Linked DNA regions of Arabidopsis thaliana. The protein of the gene in region 2 interacts with the protein of the main gene of each other region in a pairwise test. Each region holds a gene or a part of one and is shown on either strand. Other genes may lie near its edges.

The links. Proteins that work in one complex are often made in the same cells at the same time.
Region 1: the proteins of TRM19 (region 2) and MAP70-2 interact in a two-hybrid assay, tested with the Arabidopsis thaliana proteins (one large-scale study listed by BioGRID).

What each region holds. Positions count from the first base shown.
Region 1 is NC_003070.9:8,759,501-8,766,660, forward strand, and holds MAP70-2 (microtubule-associated proteins 70-2), read right to left. Parts: upstream 3,970-7,160; 5' UTR 3,934-3,969; coding exon 3,492-3,933; exon of another isoform or gene 3,418-3,491; coding exon 3,332-3,417; intron 2,841-3,331; coding exon 2,775-2,840; intron 2,688-2,774; coding exon 2,517-2,687; intron 2,419-2,516; coding exon 2,248-2,418; intron 2,164-2,247; coding exon 2,008-2,163; intron 1,920-2,007; coding exon 1,773-1,919; intron 1,659-1,772; coding exon 1,587-1,658; intron 1,499-1,586; coding exon 959-1,498; intron 849-958; coding exon 661-848; intron 544-660; coding exon 501-543; downstream 1-500. UniProt on the Arabidopsis thaliana protein: Plant-specific protein that interact with microtubules.
Region 2 is NC_003074.8:19,844,751-19,853,452, reverse strand, and holds TRM19 (afadin), read left to right. Parts: upstream 1-3,061; 5' UTR 3,062-3,475; coding exon 3,476-3,733; intron 3,734-3,830; coding exon 3,831-5,654; intron 5,655-5,726; coding exon 5,727-5,907; intron 5,908-6,043; coding exon 6,044-6,648; downstream 6,649-8,702. Other genes in the region: NAKR3 (Chloroplast-targeted copper chaperone protein), read right to left, coding at 6,870-7,030, 7,564-7,645, 7,751-8,254.

The sequences.
Region 1 (7,160 bases), on a different chromosome or scaffold from region 2:
TTTGAAATCTTCGAGTACTTGTTGTGATGTGATTTGTTCAAATATATCAAATCATATATTATATATCAGCAAACCCAAAATACAAACGAATAAATCACACAAAGAGTGCAATAGAGTAACAAACAAATAAAAGGAATCAGAGGTACACAAGCTCTAGAGAAGCCAAATACCAAACCTATACACCAAAAACAAACTAACTCCCGAAAAGAGAGATGAAAATGTTAGCCAAAATGTCAACATCTCTCACTCTCTCCCTCGGCTTTTCTTCTCCTCCCTCTAACCACTTTAACACCAAATCTATGTCACAAACTCTCTTTCTTATCTTTTTACTAGGTTATAGGTGTGAGGATGGGATTATCAGCATGCTAAGTTATATATGGTGATACAACCAATCACATGAGGTAAACAAAAACAAAGTAAAAGCCATGATATAAGGTTAAAACAGCTGAATAACAAGAGCCAAGGACATTCTTTTACTTGTTATTTTCTTGAATCTCCCTTCACTGGGTACTCTTCGTTAACCCGCCACTTCGTCCAGCAGCTCTGCGCAAATCCAAACTCCAAATTTAGTTTGAATACCAAATTATGAACTAAGAAGTATATAGCATTATAGCTAACCATGAAATGTGTAATACAAAGTGAAAAACCACATAGCTCTACCTTCCCGCAAGAATCTGGGCGGTGTTGGATGGGCTCTTGCTATTTGAAAACCTTTTGGCTCTGGCGTCCTGATCTTTCTCCACACGCATTGCAGCAACTTCTTTTTCCATTGCAGCTACTTCCCGTCTCATCTTCTTTGCTTCAACCTCCATTGCCTTTGTTAATGTTTCCACCTTCTTCGCTAGCATCTACGAACATCAACGTATCATTACTTCCTCCGTTTACAACAAGAATGTTCTTCTTTAAACAAGATTAATATGGCATAAAGAAACAGAACTTAAAGAAACAGAACTCTTACCTCGATGGCATCATCTTTGTCTTTGAGGCTTTGATCCTTTTCATTAGAGGCTTTCCTCAAAGAAACTACTTCTTTCTGTAGTAAATCATACAAAACACCAGGGACACTGTCCTCAGTTGCTGCTTCAGGGTCTTCACTTTGTGGCTTCTCCTCTGAATTTTCTTTCCACCCATTACCTGACTCTGCTTCCTTAGAGTCATCAGTAGCCTTGTTGAAGGAATAATTCCCAGGTCCGTTTAAAAGTGCTTTGCCTCTATCCACGGATCTTGTGCCTCCATCAAATGACTTAGATGTTCCTTTAGCATTCTTCAACACCGAAGTTGAATTAATAGACAATGAATGCCTCATCTGAGATGCTGGAGCTTTCTTTGATAAAGCACCGTTTGATGTAAATTTTTGTAAGTTTTCAGCTCCACCAAGCGACTGCCTGCGAGAAGGTCCATTACTCATGCTTCTTGCCTCGGGTGTGTTCCTGGTGGCGCTGCTTGAAGTTCCTCGAAGTGTCTCCTCAAGCACTTTAAGCCGCAGTTGAAACTTCTCCTGAAATTGCACAAACAAAATATATTACTTCTTGTTCTGTGTAACAAGATCAACTGAAAGAAGCTGACTAATGGATAAGATTTGTTACTTTTAACTGTGCCTCGGATTTTGCAGCCCGGTCTGTTATGGCGAGCTTATCACGAAGTTGCTGCATTTCTCCCTGCAAAAAAGTTGAGGATCAAGAAGTGAGAATGTAGATATGGATGGGCCTTGCTCACTGCAAATAATTTGCGTCCTAAGAATCTAGGAGAGGGGCCATCATATCAAAGTAAACCTGTAGAAACCTTCGTTCTTCGAGCCATTGCTTCACAGGCATCACTTTATCATTACCATCTTTCCACTCATTTGCTACCACAGTGGCAACTCTGTTTGCTGTAACCTTTGCACGTGCAAGCTCCCGGTCAAGAGTTTTCCGCTCTTCCTGAAAGACAAAAACAAGAATTATTCCTACATCAGTAGGCAATTGTTGTGACAAGAAATTAGAGACTTTATGAAGTGTGTTTAGTTACATTCATCTCTTGAAATTTCCGCTGGTAATCCCTCACGGCATTTGCAGCAGCACCACCTGCAAGAACAGCCTCTTCTAGCTCTCGTACTGTCTGAGTAAGCTTTTCCACTTCAGCAACCTTCTGCCTATGCATTCTATCTAGAATTTTGTTTTCTTCCTAAAACAGAAAATAAAGTTAATCAGATTGTTGGCAAATCCATAGATTAAGTAAATACAAAGAACAAGATGGCGACCACAGAACCTGACAGATTTCAATTTGCTTCATTAGCTCCTGGTTCTTATTCTGAAGATCATCAACCATAGCGGCTTTTGCCATGGCAGCTTCAACGGTCCTCTCAGCTTCAAGTAAGGCAGCTTCCTTTGATTTAGTCAGACGGTCCAAAGCCCTGTTATCTTCTTGAAGCTTTCCAATCTACACAGATACAAGAGATTTGATCAGTGACCTCATAAACTTTCAATATCCCATATGAAAGTAAACAGCAAGCAGTTAGACTTAAAATGACAATATACCTCTGATCGTGCAAGCTTAAGTTCAGCTTCTAATGGAGCAAGGATGGCTTCAATAGGAGGCATGTCATCATCCTTTTGAGCAGCATGGACTCTTCTTAAAGTGGCTTCAGCAGCAAACTGAGCAGCCATTGATGCTTTCTTTTCCTCATTGATTTTCTTGATTTCTAGATTCTGCAGCAAGGTTGATATCATATGTCTATAAGCTTAAGAAACGAAAGGTGAACATCATCGAACCAAGGAAAGATTATCGAACAATACTTTGCTTTCGAGAATGGATTCAGTCAACTTGAGCTTCTCATCCAACTTAGTAAGCTCCTCAGTAAGCTACAACAACAACAAAAAAACATAGAGGAAACTTCATTCCACAAGAAGAGAATGTGTAAATAAAAAATCCCACTGTTAAAAACATAAAAGTCAAGAACAAACACATGATGTTATAATTGATCAAAACTAAAAGGCAAAGTTAAATTCTGAATGTTCTTCTCCAACCACATTGCCCAAATACCACACTACGATAAATGCACCTAAATTCATTATAAATTATTTCTTCAACTAACAAGGAAACTAAGACTTTGTAGTAAAATAAAGTGACCCAGATGTGAAATTCATCAACCATTATTTGATTGGTTGAACCAAAAATGTAGAGATTAATAATCGTCCCTGAGAAATTGCTAAATGTGTGAAATTTATCAACCATTATTGATTGGCTTAACCAAAAATGGAGATAATTTACCAAAACATCAAGAAATGATTAAGAATTGGTAAAATGTGAAAAAGCTTCAGACAAAAATAGCAAAATTCAGACACAAACAAACCTCTTCAACAGCTTTCTCTCTTTGTCTCTCAGACAACCTAAGCGCTTTGATCTCAGCGTTTGCTTCTCCTAACTCCCGATCCTTATCTACATCCCCCCAACAACCAATAATCAGAAACCGAATCGACAAAAAATAAAAAAATCGAACAGCATTATCAGACCTCTAACTTCATTCTCTAGTCGATTAAGCTCCACTTTCACTGGATCCGAGCCATGAAGCAAAGTAATAAACTCATTATCAGCCGCAGCGTCGAAACTCGGCCTTATTGGTCTCCTCTTCGACGAGCTTTTACCTCCGCTGCTCTCTTTGTAAGACGCCGACACCGTTAATGACGGATACGTCGCCGAAGAAACCGGCGGTTGTGGAGTTACTTCATGTTCAGTAACCGTCGCCGATAAATCTCCGTCACCGGAAACATCCGACATCTCCGATCTGATTCCTTTGTTGGATATATATACAAAAAGCACTTCCAAATCCAAATGCCAGAGAGAGAGATTGTTTGAGAAAGTGAGAGAGAAGAGAATGAGTAAAGAGAAGAGAGATTTATAAATAAATATGCAGTTACAGATTTGACAAGACAGCGAGAGATGATGACGCAACATTTGTATTAATTCTTAAACACTAACTTCAAACATGTTACTTTTTCTGATTAGTCAATAAACTAATTAATTAGTAAGCAAATTAGACAATTAAGTAGTAGTACTATGTTTTCTACTATTTTTCTTTAGTAGCTTACAGTGAATTTTGTCGCTTGGATCTCTTCTAATATTGTTTATTTCAAAAAGTTAATTCTTGGTGTGCATCTTTATTACAAAAAAATAATAAACACAAAAGTAATAATGAGAAATAAACCTGAGTTTTTTGTAGCAGACACTTAGTTGAATGTTTATTGAGTATTAATGTCATGGAATTGTTTCTGGTATTTTTTCTTGTGATTTATTTAGTTAGTTGTGAATTCATCTTTTGATTGTAAGGTAGATAATTAATTATTACAGATAAAATATGTTGACTTGGTCAATATGTTCAATTGTCTGATAATTAGTAAGGAAAAGGTATAACTAGTAATTAGTGAAGATTAGATTTAAATGCTTTGCCCATGAAAAGAGGGAAAATGTTCGATGTCCCAAATATCTTTGTTTCGCTTTTTCTCTTTTCGAGGGATAATGCTTCTTCTCTTTTTTCTCAAGTAAGGTTGGTTGGTTCTACTTCTAATGGACAACAATAAGAAAAGTATATGAATCTTAACACCTATGACCTATTCTACTCATATTTTAGAATCCTATTCTTAAAGATCACTTGAGATTATTAGCCTAAGTTAGGAATAAATAACTATATGACTATTTTCATATATGTATTTGTTCAATAGAAGCATGTTAACCTTGTTGACAACAAAACATTTGTTCCACCCATTAAAATTATATGTTTATATAGGTTATTTTAGTAAAGTGGTTAAATGCGAGTTATATAGGTGGGTAGTTCAAATGTATAAAAACAGGATGGTGTCTGAAACTTTTCTTTAAATTTACAGAAAGAAAATAGATACTTTTCCCAGATACAAGAAGTACACATTAAGCAGCTTATACAGTTTGATATTCCTCAAGTCGGAAATTCTGCAATCTTTACTTAACAGGTATTTTATTTAATCAGTATTCCGTACTCACATGCTTCCACTACAACGAGACCTTTCGATAAAATATAGATCTATTTAGACTATTATTAAAATTTAAAAGTAACAAAGACAACGAATATACTAAACTCAGATTATATTTTCCAAAACTATTACTAAATTAAGAATATCAATACGTACACTAGATATAGAAATCGGAATTAGGTACGTTGTGATCAATTTCAGCTACCATAAACTAGTCAATTGTAGTGACTAGTGAGTATGTGGACCTTGGATTCATATAGAGTTATGAGATTCGGTTTAACGTATCATGCGAATCTCAGTGTCTACTAAATGCAAAAGGAACAAACGCATATTATAGATGATAATACGTGATTGGACACATCACATAGTTTAAGGCATTACATATATCGATATACATAATTAAATACGTATTACTTCTATGGCGTGTAGTAGAAAGACTAGCTGCATATGGCACCTAATTAATACACATATGGTTCATGTGAAATGCTGGATATGTATATGGTATACCACCACTTTGGTACCATAATGCAACATCTAAATTCGAGAAACGTACTTTCTTATGAATACAACGTTTTGGGCATCATTTAGGGAGAGATGAACTCCATTACCCAAAAGTAAAATTATTCTCTCATATTTCGGAGACGTTATATTTGAAGTCCATGCCATTTTTTAACCTCGTTATTTTTTCATGATAAACTTTTGTACCGCCGACTAAGTACTAAGTTTTTGATACCGCAAACTCTTAACTGTTTTTCAAACCACTGATTTTTACGACTTTATTATAGTTTTACACATAAATAAAAGTCGTCCATGTAATTAAGTATGTAACCATATTTTACCGTAACGTACATCACCAAATAAATCTGAAAGGAGAGAGGAGGATAAAATAAAGGGAAAAAAAGGAAAAAGGGTAGCAAGGAAGAAAGCTGCGTGAACCCATGTGCCACTTCTTTGCTATGCCTTGAAGAATCAGACAAAACGAGTGGAGTCTAGAGACTTTGATCCTAATACCACTCCTTAATATATGCCTATCCTATCATTATTTCACAACGCATGTTTACTTTTGTTATGAAATATAGTTTTGTTTAAAGGGTGGTAACGTAATTTATGGGTTCCATTAGGATTGTGTTTTATTTTCTCTCCTCATCCTCATGCATGTAAGAATTTGCATTTTTATAAATATATACTATGAATTCAGTCCAACCTTACAGTGTGAACAATTTAATTAAACGAAGCATAATCCTAAAAGAAAATAAAACTAAAAAAAAATAGTTAAGATGGTATAAGATAATTTTATTAAGTTAAGATGTTGCACTTTTCACTAAGTAAATCAAACATTTACATAGTGATTTGTCATAATGTGCATATTCCATTTTTTCGGGTCTTTCATTTCCATATTCCTCAGCTCTTTCATATATTGAAGATTGAAGAGAATAAGAAAGACGCTTTTTATAGGAAACGAATTAAAGAGTGTTGACTTGCCGTAAAAGTAACTTAAATTGTTCGTCGCCTGAGCATGGATTTATATAAACGTGAAGTACTATACAAAACCCTAACCAACATTTGATCAAACGACAATGATGTCGGAACTTCCAGAGCATTTGTTAGAAGAGATACTCTACCGCGTTCCAGCTATGTCTTTGAAACAGTTAGGGTCTACTTGCAAAGGATGGAACTGTTTATTCAAGGATAGGAGATTCACAAGAAAACACTTGGATAAAGGCCCAAAGCAGTTTCTGATTCACATGTCTAAAGGGCTTAGGGTACGCTCGATGAGTGTCGATCTCCATAGACTTCCACATGTAAAAGTCACAGTTGAATTTACCCTAATCAACCCTAAATATCCTAGTTGTCTAGATCAAGATCAATTCGAGATATATAAAGTCTCTCACTGCGACGGCTTATTGTTATGCGTCTGCGTCACCAAGGAGGACAATACTTGGCTCGCGGTATGGAACCCGTGTACTGGTCAAACAAGGTGGATTCAACCCATGACTTATATGACAACTATACTCTCGGATCCTACCAAAATAATAGCTACAATATATTGGCACACACTGGTTTTGGCTACGACCACGAATTCCAAATTTATGAAATTAACTCCAATTCATGGAGGATTATTGATGCCACTTTGGACTTCAAATTAGGGTATATTGGTCGTGGCGTGTCTTTGAAGGG
Region 2 (8,702 bases):
GGAGAAGGAGACGTTTGACATATCAACAAGACAACAAGCCAAAGACAAAATCTGTGAACATGGACAAAACAAAAAATAATAATATTCTTTATATACATATATTAAATTAATTTACGGTGGTATAAATATTTACGTAAATACTATGGAATTTTAGGTCAATCTCATTGTTTCTCTTTTTATTATTTTTCTTAAAACAATTACGGTAAGAGTTTTAGGGTTATAGATCTATTTTCTTACATCTACATAGGCCATAATGAATCAAACGCATAACCGTTTCATGAGCATCGACTACATAGGTCAAGGAATCTGCTTTACCTTTTTTTTATTTGTCTTTTGTTACTGTTTTTTTCGTATTTTTTCTACGCCTGATAACTTTTCCCAATTAAATACTACAACTTGCATGTTTATTTATTTAGCTTTAATATGGTTATTAATTGGTACTTTATTGACTTACGAGTAGTCACGAAGACGAATCTTAGCTTGTCCATGCAGCTGTACTTAACTCTAAACATTGGTTTTTGTCAACAACGTTTTTCGGTTTTACAAATTGTTCATTCATATAATAATCAAATGTTAGCTAAAGCTGCTAATCGAAGAAAATAGTATTTGTGCTATACACGCATGTCCGAATAATACTTTTTCTTTCGTTTAATAAACCGAAATAATACCAATTCTTCAATATATAATCCTTTCCTGTAGATGTAGTTTTGGAAACGTTCCAAATTTAGTCCAGTGGTACTTTATAATACAAAAGTTGGAAAAACGTTTAGGTTTTGTGACCTCGGTGGTCTAGCTATTACAAAAAAAAACCAAGAAATTGAATTTATTTCGAACCATCATATTCAGTTTTGTTTCACTGATTGTAAAAAGAACAACAATCATAAAAGTAATGATATGTGTGTAGGCGTCTAGGTGATCTATCATCTATGGATGCATCAACGTCTAAAAAACCTCCATAAATCAAGGAAGACATGAAAAATTGAAAGTTAAAGATTTATTTGCTTTTATATTTTGTTCTTTTCTATTCGATTTTTTTTTTCCTTTTGATTTTTTTTTTTTGTTTGTCTTGCGGCGAATAAATTTTGAAACTACACTCTACACACATTTGTGCATATATGATCTTTATCTTATGTTCTTCTCTAGGAGATAAATAAAGAGACTATATAGTCAATTCATGATAGTTAGTAAATGCAATTAATGCGTGCATATAGTATGTGATTAATTAGCAAAACATTATGCATTAAAATTATAATCTAACCGTAAATTTAATACGAAGTAACTTCAAGTAAGTTAGCGGTTTGTGTTTGGAAAAATGTTTCATAGTCGTCATTAAACCTGTTTTTTTTGAGCAATGTGTCAGATTAATTATCTTGAAAGCGAAGGCTGTAAGAATTTCTGTCATTTTCTACTTATAGTCATATTTGGTGAGCTCACGAACTAACCCTTTATTAGGGACTTGAAAGGTTCTACTATTTGTCACTGTTAGTATACATTTCGAATTTTTTATGAGCATAAATTTTTGTTTTTCTGTTTTTTCGAGTAATTAGCATAGATTTAAGAGGATAAAGGACCATATAGTTGAATAGATTTCAAGTCTTGCTTAACCTAATCTTCTCTAGGAAGAGACTTGTAGACAAGAGACTTCAGTCAGAGGTTAATATAAAATATAGATGACTTAGAAACATTCTTAAATCTGAGATAAGGGTAAAATATTTTTAAAATTTTATTTTAACTCACTTTTTAGAGGAAACAAAAAACAGGAATAGAAAACTTAAGCCATAATTCTATTAAGTTAAGATTATATGTCGGTTTGTATTTATAAAAGAATGGTTAGTGTTAGATTTTATAATTAATTCAATTTAAGAGGTTTCAATGAATTATTTTTATTTATTTAGATAATATTAATTATTTTAGTTAGATTAGATAGTAAAATTTAATTGGCTAATTAAAAGAAAAACTTAAGGTTATTAATTTTTTTGTTAATGTGTTCTTAATTTATTTTGTTTTTTGTTTTTAATATTTAGTTTCTATTTAAGTGTTGTATAACATGACATAATAATTAATTTAAACTAAAAAAGGTGAATACAAATGTTCACTCCTAGATTGAACCTAAAAATTGTCCCGAAAGAAAATATCGTTTGCTATATAGATAGAAGAAGAACATAATACAGAAAACTTGGTTATTTATTCTAAACTTGGTTATAAATCTTGATAAATAATTCCAACTTTGTTGAAGTTTGTTTTTACGGTACCAATTTGTTGGTTATTGATTGTATACTGTAGTACTATTTCTTTATTTTTTAGAAAAGAAATCCGACGGTACGACAAAAGAAGAAGAAGGAAAATGGAAGGGGAGAGACAAGTGGCAGCAATTCACGGATACACAGAACTCAGTAAGTTTTTAAAATAGTACCAAACACGCCCCCCTTTACTAAACTTCAAAAAAAAAAAAAAAGATTAAAAAAATTTGAACTTTCAAATAAACTCAGAAGCCATTTCCCATTTCCTCTTTTCTCCGTCGTCTCGTCTGGTTCGCTCTTCTCTCTCTCTCTCTTTCACTCAATTTCTTCTCTAATCGTTTAATTTCTTCTTGGGTTCCTTCTCTTCTCTTAGATCTCCCCGTAATCCCAGAGAATCGTCTGCATTTCTTCTCACGAGTTAGATTTCTCTAAATCTTCCTCTGATTTTCTCTTACCCAGTGAATTTCCAGACCTAGATTCACCTCTCCGTGCTTTTTCCTCCGAATGAAATGTTTTCACCGGAGATGAACAGTGAGTGAAAGATGAACAGATTTCGACTCAGCGACCTCAGTTCTCGAGATCGATTAGCTTCAACACTGCCCACTTCTCACCAAGGTCACAGCTTTTCTCTCTCACGCTTTTTTCTTACACAACCGTTTCTGATTGGTTGAAGAGAAACCGCCGATTTGATGCGTTTTCGTTTGTTCTAACATAGAACTCGAATTTGTCAATTTAGAGCAAATTGTGTATTTTTTGTTGGTCAATCAATTTTATAAATATTTTAGTTAAAAGGTTCTGAGATTTTCTGAGCAAACCAAAACAAAAGCAATTACTGATGTCTTTTTGTTTCCTTGTTCGGGTTGTTCGAGAGTCTCTCGTAGTGAGGGAGGTCATCAATACCACAATTGGTTACTTCTTAAACTATAGAGAAATGTATTTTTATAAAATCTTGAGCTACAAAACAAAGAAATGTTTATTTGTTTCTTGTGGAAAAAAAACTATAGTTTTAAAGCAGTGGGTAGAGAGAAGAAGAAGATTACAGATTGCTACTCTCTTTTTTTTTTCTTTTCTTATAATAATAAAGTAAAGAAAAGCTTTTTTAGAAAAAATTATCAGGGCAGTGTTTGTTGGGGTAGTAGTACTGTCATGATTTGGTTGTTTGTTAAAAATTTCTTTTTTTTCAACAGATTTAATGATTTAGATTTACATGTAATGAGTGTTTTTGCTTAACCTCAATGCTTTATTGTGTTTTTTATCTTCTTCTTCCTCCACTTATTGTGCTACAATTTACTCTTTTTGTCTCCCAAGTTTCCATTTTTTTTATTAAAGTTTCTTCCGTTGTCGTAAAGTTGATTGCTTTATTATCAATTGAGAATCCTAAAAAGTCATTCATTTTTTCAGGAAAGAAACAGAAGAGTCAGAAACTCAAATCTCCAAGGTCTTCTTCTCCTGAATTTAACTCTTGTCATTGTGAAGCTTTGAGTGAAAACAAGGTATGTATTATTTACTCTTTTAAGATATCTGACTGGAAATGTTTGGTTCCTGTTGTTGTTGTTTGAAAGTGACTTGTTGCTCATATTGCTGTTGCAGCAAGATTTTCCTACTGGAGTACCGATGAAAAGTTTGTTAGCACAAGAAATGTCAAAGCAGAAAGAATCTAAAAAGAGATCGCCAAGCATTATAGCGAGATTGATGGGTCTCGATGTTTTGCCTTCTCAGAGTTCTTCTCATAAGCAACAAAAGTCTATGGAGAATCAGCAAGGCAGGAGTGGTGGAGGCACTTCTTATAAATCTCTTGGAAAGCGCTCAAAGGGTGAGCAGAAGTTTAAAGATGTTTTCGAAGTTTTGGATGCAAAGATGGCAGAGAGTAACAGAAACTTATATCATCAGGGGAGGGTGAATGCTAATCTAACACAGGCGGAGATGGCATTCATACGGCAGAAGTTCATGGAGGCTAAGCGGCTATCAACGGATGATAAACTTCGTCATTCTAAAGAGTTTAATGATGCTCTTGAGGCTCTAGACTCTAACAAAGACCTCTTACTGAAGTTTCTTCAGCACCCAGATTCATTATTTACAAAACATCTGCATGATCTTCAAAGCACACCTCACAAGCCACAGTACAGTCAAGCACCATCCTTGAAGTCGCCAAACAGTCAGAGGCATGTGGATAGTCTGAAAACTCAGAAAGTTGATAGGGACTTGTTGAGGAAGAGTCATCGGTCGCCTCATCGGAATGGTGGTGGTGGTAGTGGTTGTCCTAGCCGTTCTCATACTAGGCATGCTTCTTATGACACGATTGACTTACCAAATGAGGAGCTGAGAAAGAGGAGTGAGTTGCAGCCAACCAAGATTGTTGTTCTGAAACCTAACCTCGGGGAGCCACGTTATGCTGCTAGAACTTTTGCATCGCCAAGCTCTTCTTCCGATGAGTTCAGAGCAGATCGTAGGCTTCCATGCACCACCACTCATGGCAGGCAGAAAAGTAATGAAGATGTCCGCCTGTCAAGACAGAATTCAAGAGATTGTGGAGAAATGGCCAAAATAATGTCTAGGCAAAGGAAGGTGAGCTGTGGCAATGGTCGTGCCATGAGTTTTGAGACTTCAGGATTTAGAGGATATGCAGGGGATGAAAGCTCATCAGGGAGTGACTCCGCAAGTGAATCAGAGCTAGTGCCAGTAACTTCAGGAACAAGAACCGCCTTCAACCGTAGGAACTACCATCGATCTTTGCCTTCCAAGTCAACAACATCATCTGTGAGTAGGGAAGCTAAGAGGAGACTGTCAGAGAGATGGAAGCTGACACACAAGTTTGAGCACGAGATAGAAATTAGTAGAAGTGGGACATTAGCTGAAATGCTTGCCACTTCAGATAGGGAGGCAAGGCCAGCAAGTTTTAACGGACTCAGTTTCGAAGATGGGATTAGTAAAAGATTTGAGAACAACATTCAGTGGCCTGAACTGCCAGAACCAGTTGGAATCAGCAGTAGGGATGGTTGGAAAGGATCCTGCTCAAGAAGTTTTTCAAAATCCAGAACCATCATGAACCAGGAGAGCGCTGGTGGTTACACCATAGTGTTGCCTAAGGGGTTGATCAATCGAGATGCATTAGTGCAGGGGGATTCTTCTCATCACGGAGAGTCTTTCTTGTCAAGCAAATCTAGACCTGGCAGTAACAAATCTCATTCATCATACAATAGTTCGCCAGAGGTCAGCATCACCCCAAGTTTAAGCAAGTTTGTTTATATGAACGACGGGATTCCAAGCAAGTCAGCATCTCCTTTTAAAGCACGTAGCAGTTTCTCAGGAGATGCAAATTCAGACACTGAAGATAGTTCAGCTTCTGATGATATCAAGACAGCAATGTCTTCTGAGGCTCTAGATTTGTCAACTGTCACCTCGGTAACTGACCCTGTAAGTGAGCATGAGTTTTGAATATACAGGTTGTTATAATCACATATATCTTATTGTTTACTGATGTTCTAGGATATCTCAAGGAGGACAACTGAGGATGTGAATCATTCTTCGGTTCCTGATCCACCACAGCCTCGTGAAAGCTCAAAGGAAGGAGATCAACCAAGTCCGGTTTCAGTTCTAGAAGCTTCGTTCGACGATGATGTATCATCAGGTTCGGAATGCTTTGAGAGTGTTAGCGCGGATCTCCGAGGTAGTCAATCAGTGCTTGCTAGTTCAGTAATTCTTTCATGCATTAAAATATTTTTGTATCACAAAAATTGATTCGGGTAGATCCACGGGGTAACTATAAATGTTTTGAGGTGTTAACTGTTATCTCTACGTTCCAGGACTCAGAATGCAACTTCAGCTCCTCAAACTAGAGTCAGCTACTTACAAAGAAGGTGGCATGCTCGTTTCGAGTGATGAAGACACTGATCAAGAGGAGTCATCCACAATAACTGATGAGGCTATGATTACCAAGGAGCTCAGAGAAGAAGACTGGAAGTCATCATACTTAGTTGATCTCCTAGCCAACTCCAGTTTCAGTGACTCAGACCACAACATTGTCATGGCAACAACACCTGTAGAGCCATCCTTGTTTGAGGATCTCGAGAAGAAGTACTCCAGCGTGAAAACCTCAACCCGGTTAGAAAGAAAGCTTCTTTTTGACCAGATCAGCAGAGAAGTACTACATATGTTAAAGCAGTTGTCGGATCCACACCCTTGGGTTAAATCCACAAAGGTATGCCCGAAATGGGATGCAAACAAGATACAAGAGACTCTGCGAGATTTGGTCACAAGAAAAGACGAGAAACCAAGCAAATATGATGTGGAGGAGAAGGAGTTGCAGTGGCTGAGTTTAGAAGATGACATTGAAATCATAGGTAGAGAGATTGAGGTAATGCTGACAGATGAACTCATAACAGAGCTTGTGGTAGGTGCAATCTTCTAGAAAGTTAAATAATCTCTTTGTTACATAGTTTAAGGGAAGGAAACAAAAAAAAAACACCAGGATAATGCAGTATGTAATGACAATTTTATCATAAAGAAGCATGTGTCCCTGTAATGACAGTTTAATCATAAAAGTAGGAAAGTCCACATTTTACGATTGATCTGATTCAAGCAAATAAGAGCTAGGAAGACAACACAAATACACAAAAGTGAGTGGTTCTTTTAGGTTTCCGGATTTGCCCTTGGGATTGATGGTGGAGGTGGTGTCCAGAATTGGGCATTTTTGACCTTTGAGAGGCAACCCAATACTTCCAAAGGAGTGATGTCTCCAGTCACAGTTACCTTCTTTGATGCAAAATCTATGTTGAAGGATGTCACACCTACTTATTGCCAAAAAAAAAAAAAAAAAACCATTAGCATGAACTTTAACTAAATCCATTTACAAACTATTTCATAGATAAAATCTATGGATTTGGCCCAAGTCATTTGGGTATCACCAAACCCAAAATATCTTTTTTACTTTACCTTAAATTATCATATATAATATCTTCAAGATATTGTAAATAATATTATATTTTTGATATTTTATAGAAACTTTAACAAAAGTATTATATCAGAAATATCATTTTTCACCTTTTTTGAATATGAAAGAGATAATTGTAGAAACATGATCAGATCGGTTACACACTTGCACGTATAGTGACAATGCATTATTACCCATTAAGGCTATAGGTCCCGTACCCAACTTAAAACCAAAAAATGTGTTTGCACTAAAACTTGCTCATAGTTAGATAATTTGATCTCTTATACTAACCTAAGTAAAATATGTATTGCTGTTTTTGATAAGAAAAGCAAGTAAAAGAAAAGTAAATACTGTAACAATAGAGGGTAAGAACAGTGAGAACAGAGGATTCACCTTGCATTTTGGATAGATGTTTCTTCACTTTGCCTTGACAGCCTCTGCAGTGACAGTGGAGAGACACTCTAAGAACAACTACCTGCAGTCCAAAAAATACAACACAAATCACCCTCCAAGCTCTCTTTATTAACATTCATGCCATCCGTACACAGTAAAAGTAAAACGACAACTTTACTTTACTTGCCTGGTCTGAACCTGAACCAGAAGACTTCTTCTTCTCTTCTACGGGACCAGAAGAGCCTCTTTTTGGCGCAGAAGCTTCACTTTCCTCCGTTGCAACCGTATCCTGACCCGTAGACCCGGCTAAAGAAACAGGGTCGGATCCCAGAAGATACCTAGTTGAACCAGGAGGAGTTTTGGGTGTTGCAACAACACAGCCAAAACTCTTCCTCGCTAAGCTGACGTCATAGCTAATCAGCTTCATCAACGACCCTGAATTGCTTCTCCGTCCTTTATCTACCTGAACACTCTTTCCATCGCCGGAGGAGGAGGGTACTCTCGTAATTTTCGAAAGCTGACGGTAGGGAGCAACGTAGTCGTCTCCGGAGGAACACGGTGCCGTGAAAGATCTACGACCATCTTTGATAATCGGGTTATGACGGTCGATGGCTCGAGCGGTGACGGTACGTTCGCCGTTAGCCGTAGCGGTCGATGCTTGCGATGCACAATAAAACATACCGGCTTTCATGTATTTTTGGCAAAACAAGAGCTTATTAATATATACAAACAAAAAGCAAGTCACATATATATTTACGTTACATATATACCAATATATATACGTGTAAATTGATAAATATGCGTCAGTGTGTCACATGAGTGTGTTAGTGTGTGTAAGGTCAGAGAGTAACAGAGAGTTGAGTAGAAACGCTCTTGTATTGTCCACATAAAACGTATTAGAAGTTGAGATGTCACTATTGGGATATTTATGTACTACATTACATTATTCTCTTGGATATATTCAAATGTTGTGTATTGAATTCGACCGATCAGTTTCTGTTTCAGAAAGTCGAATTAATGGAAAATGGGTAAAGGAAAAGACTTTAATTACACGTTTTTGTTTTAAACTGTAGGTAGAAGAAATGGAATGAATATAGAAATTTATTATAAAGTGAATGATTCCTTATATCTCAAGTTCT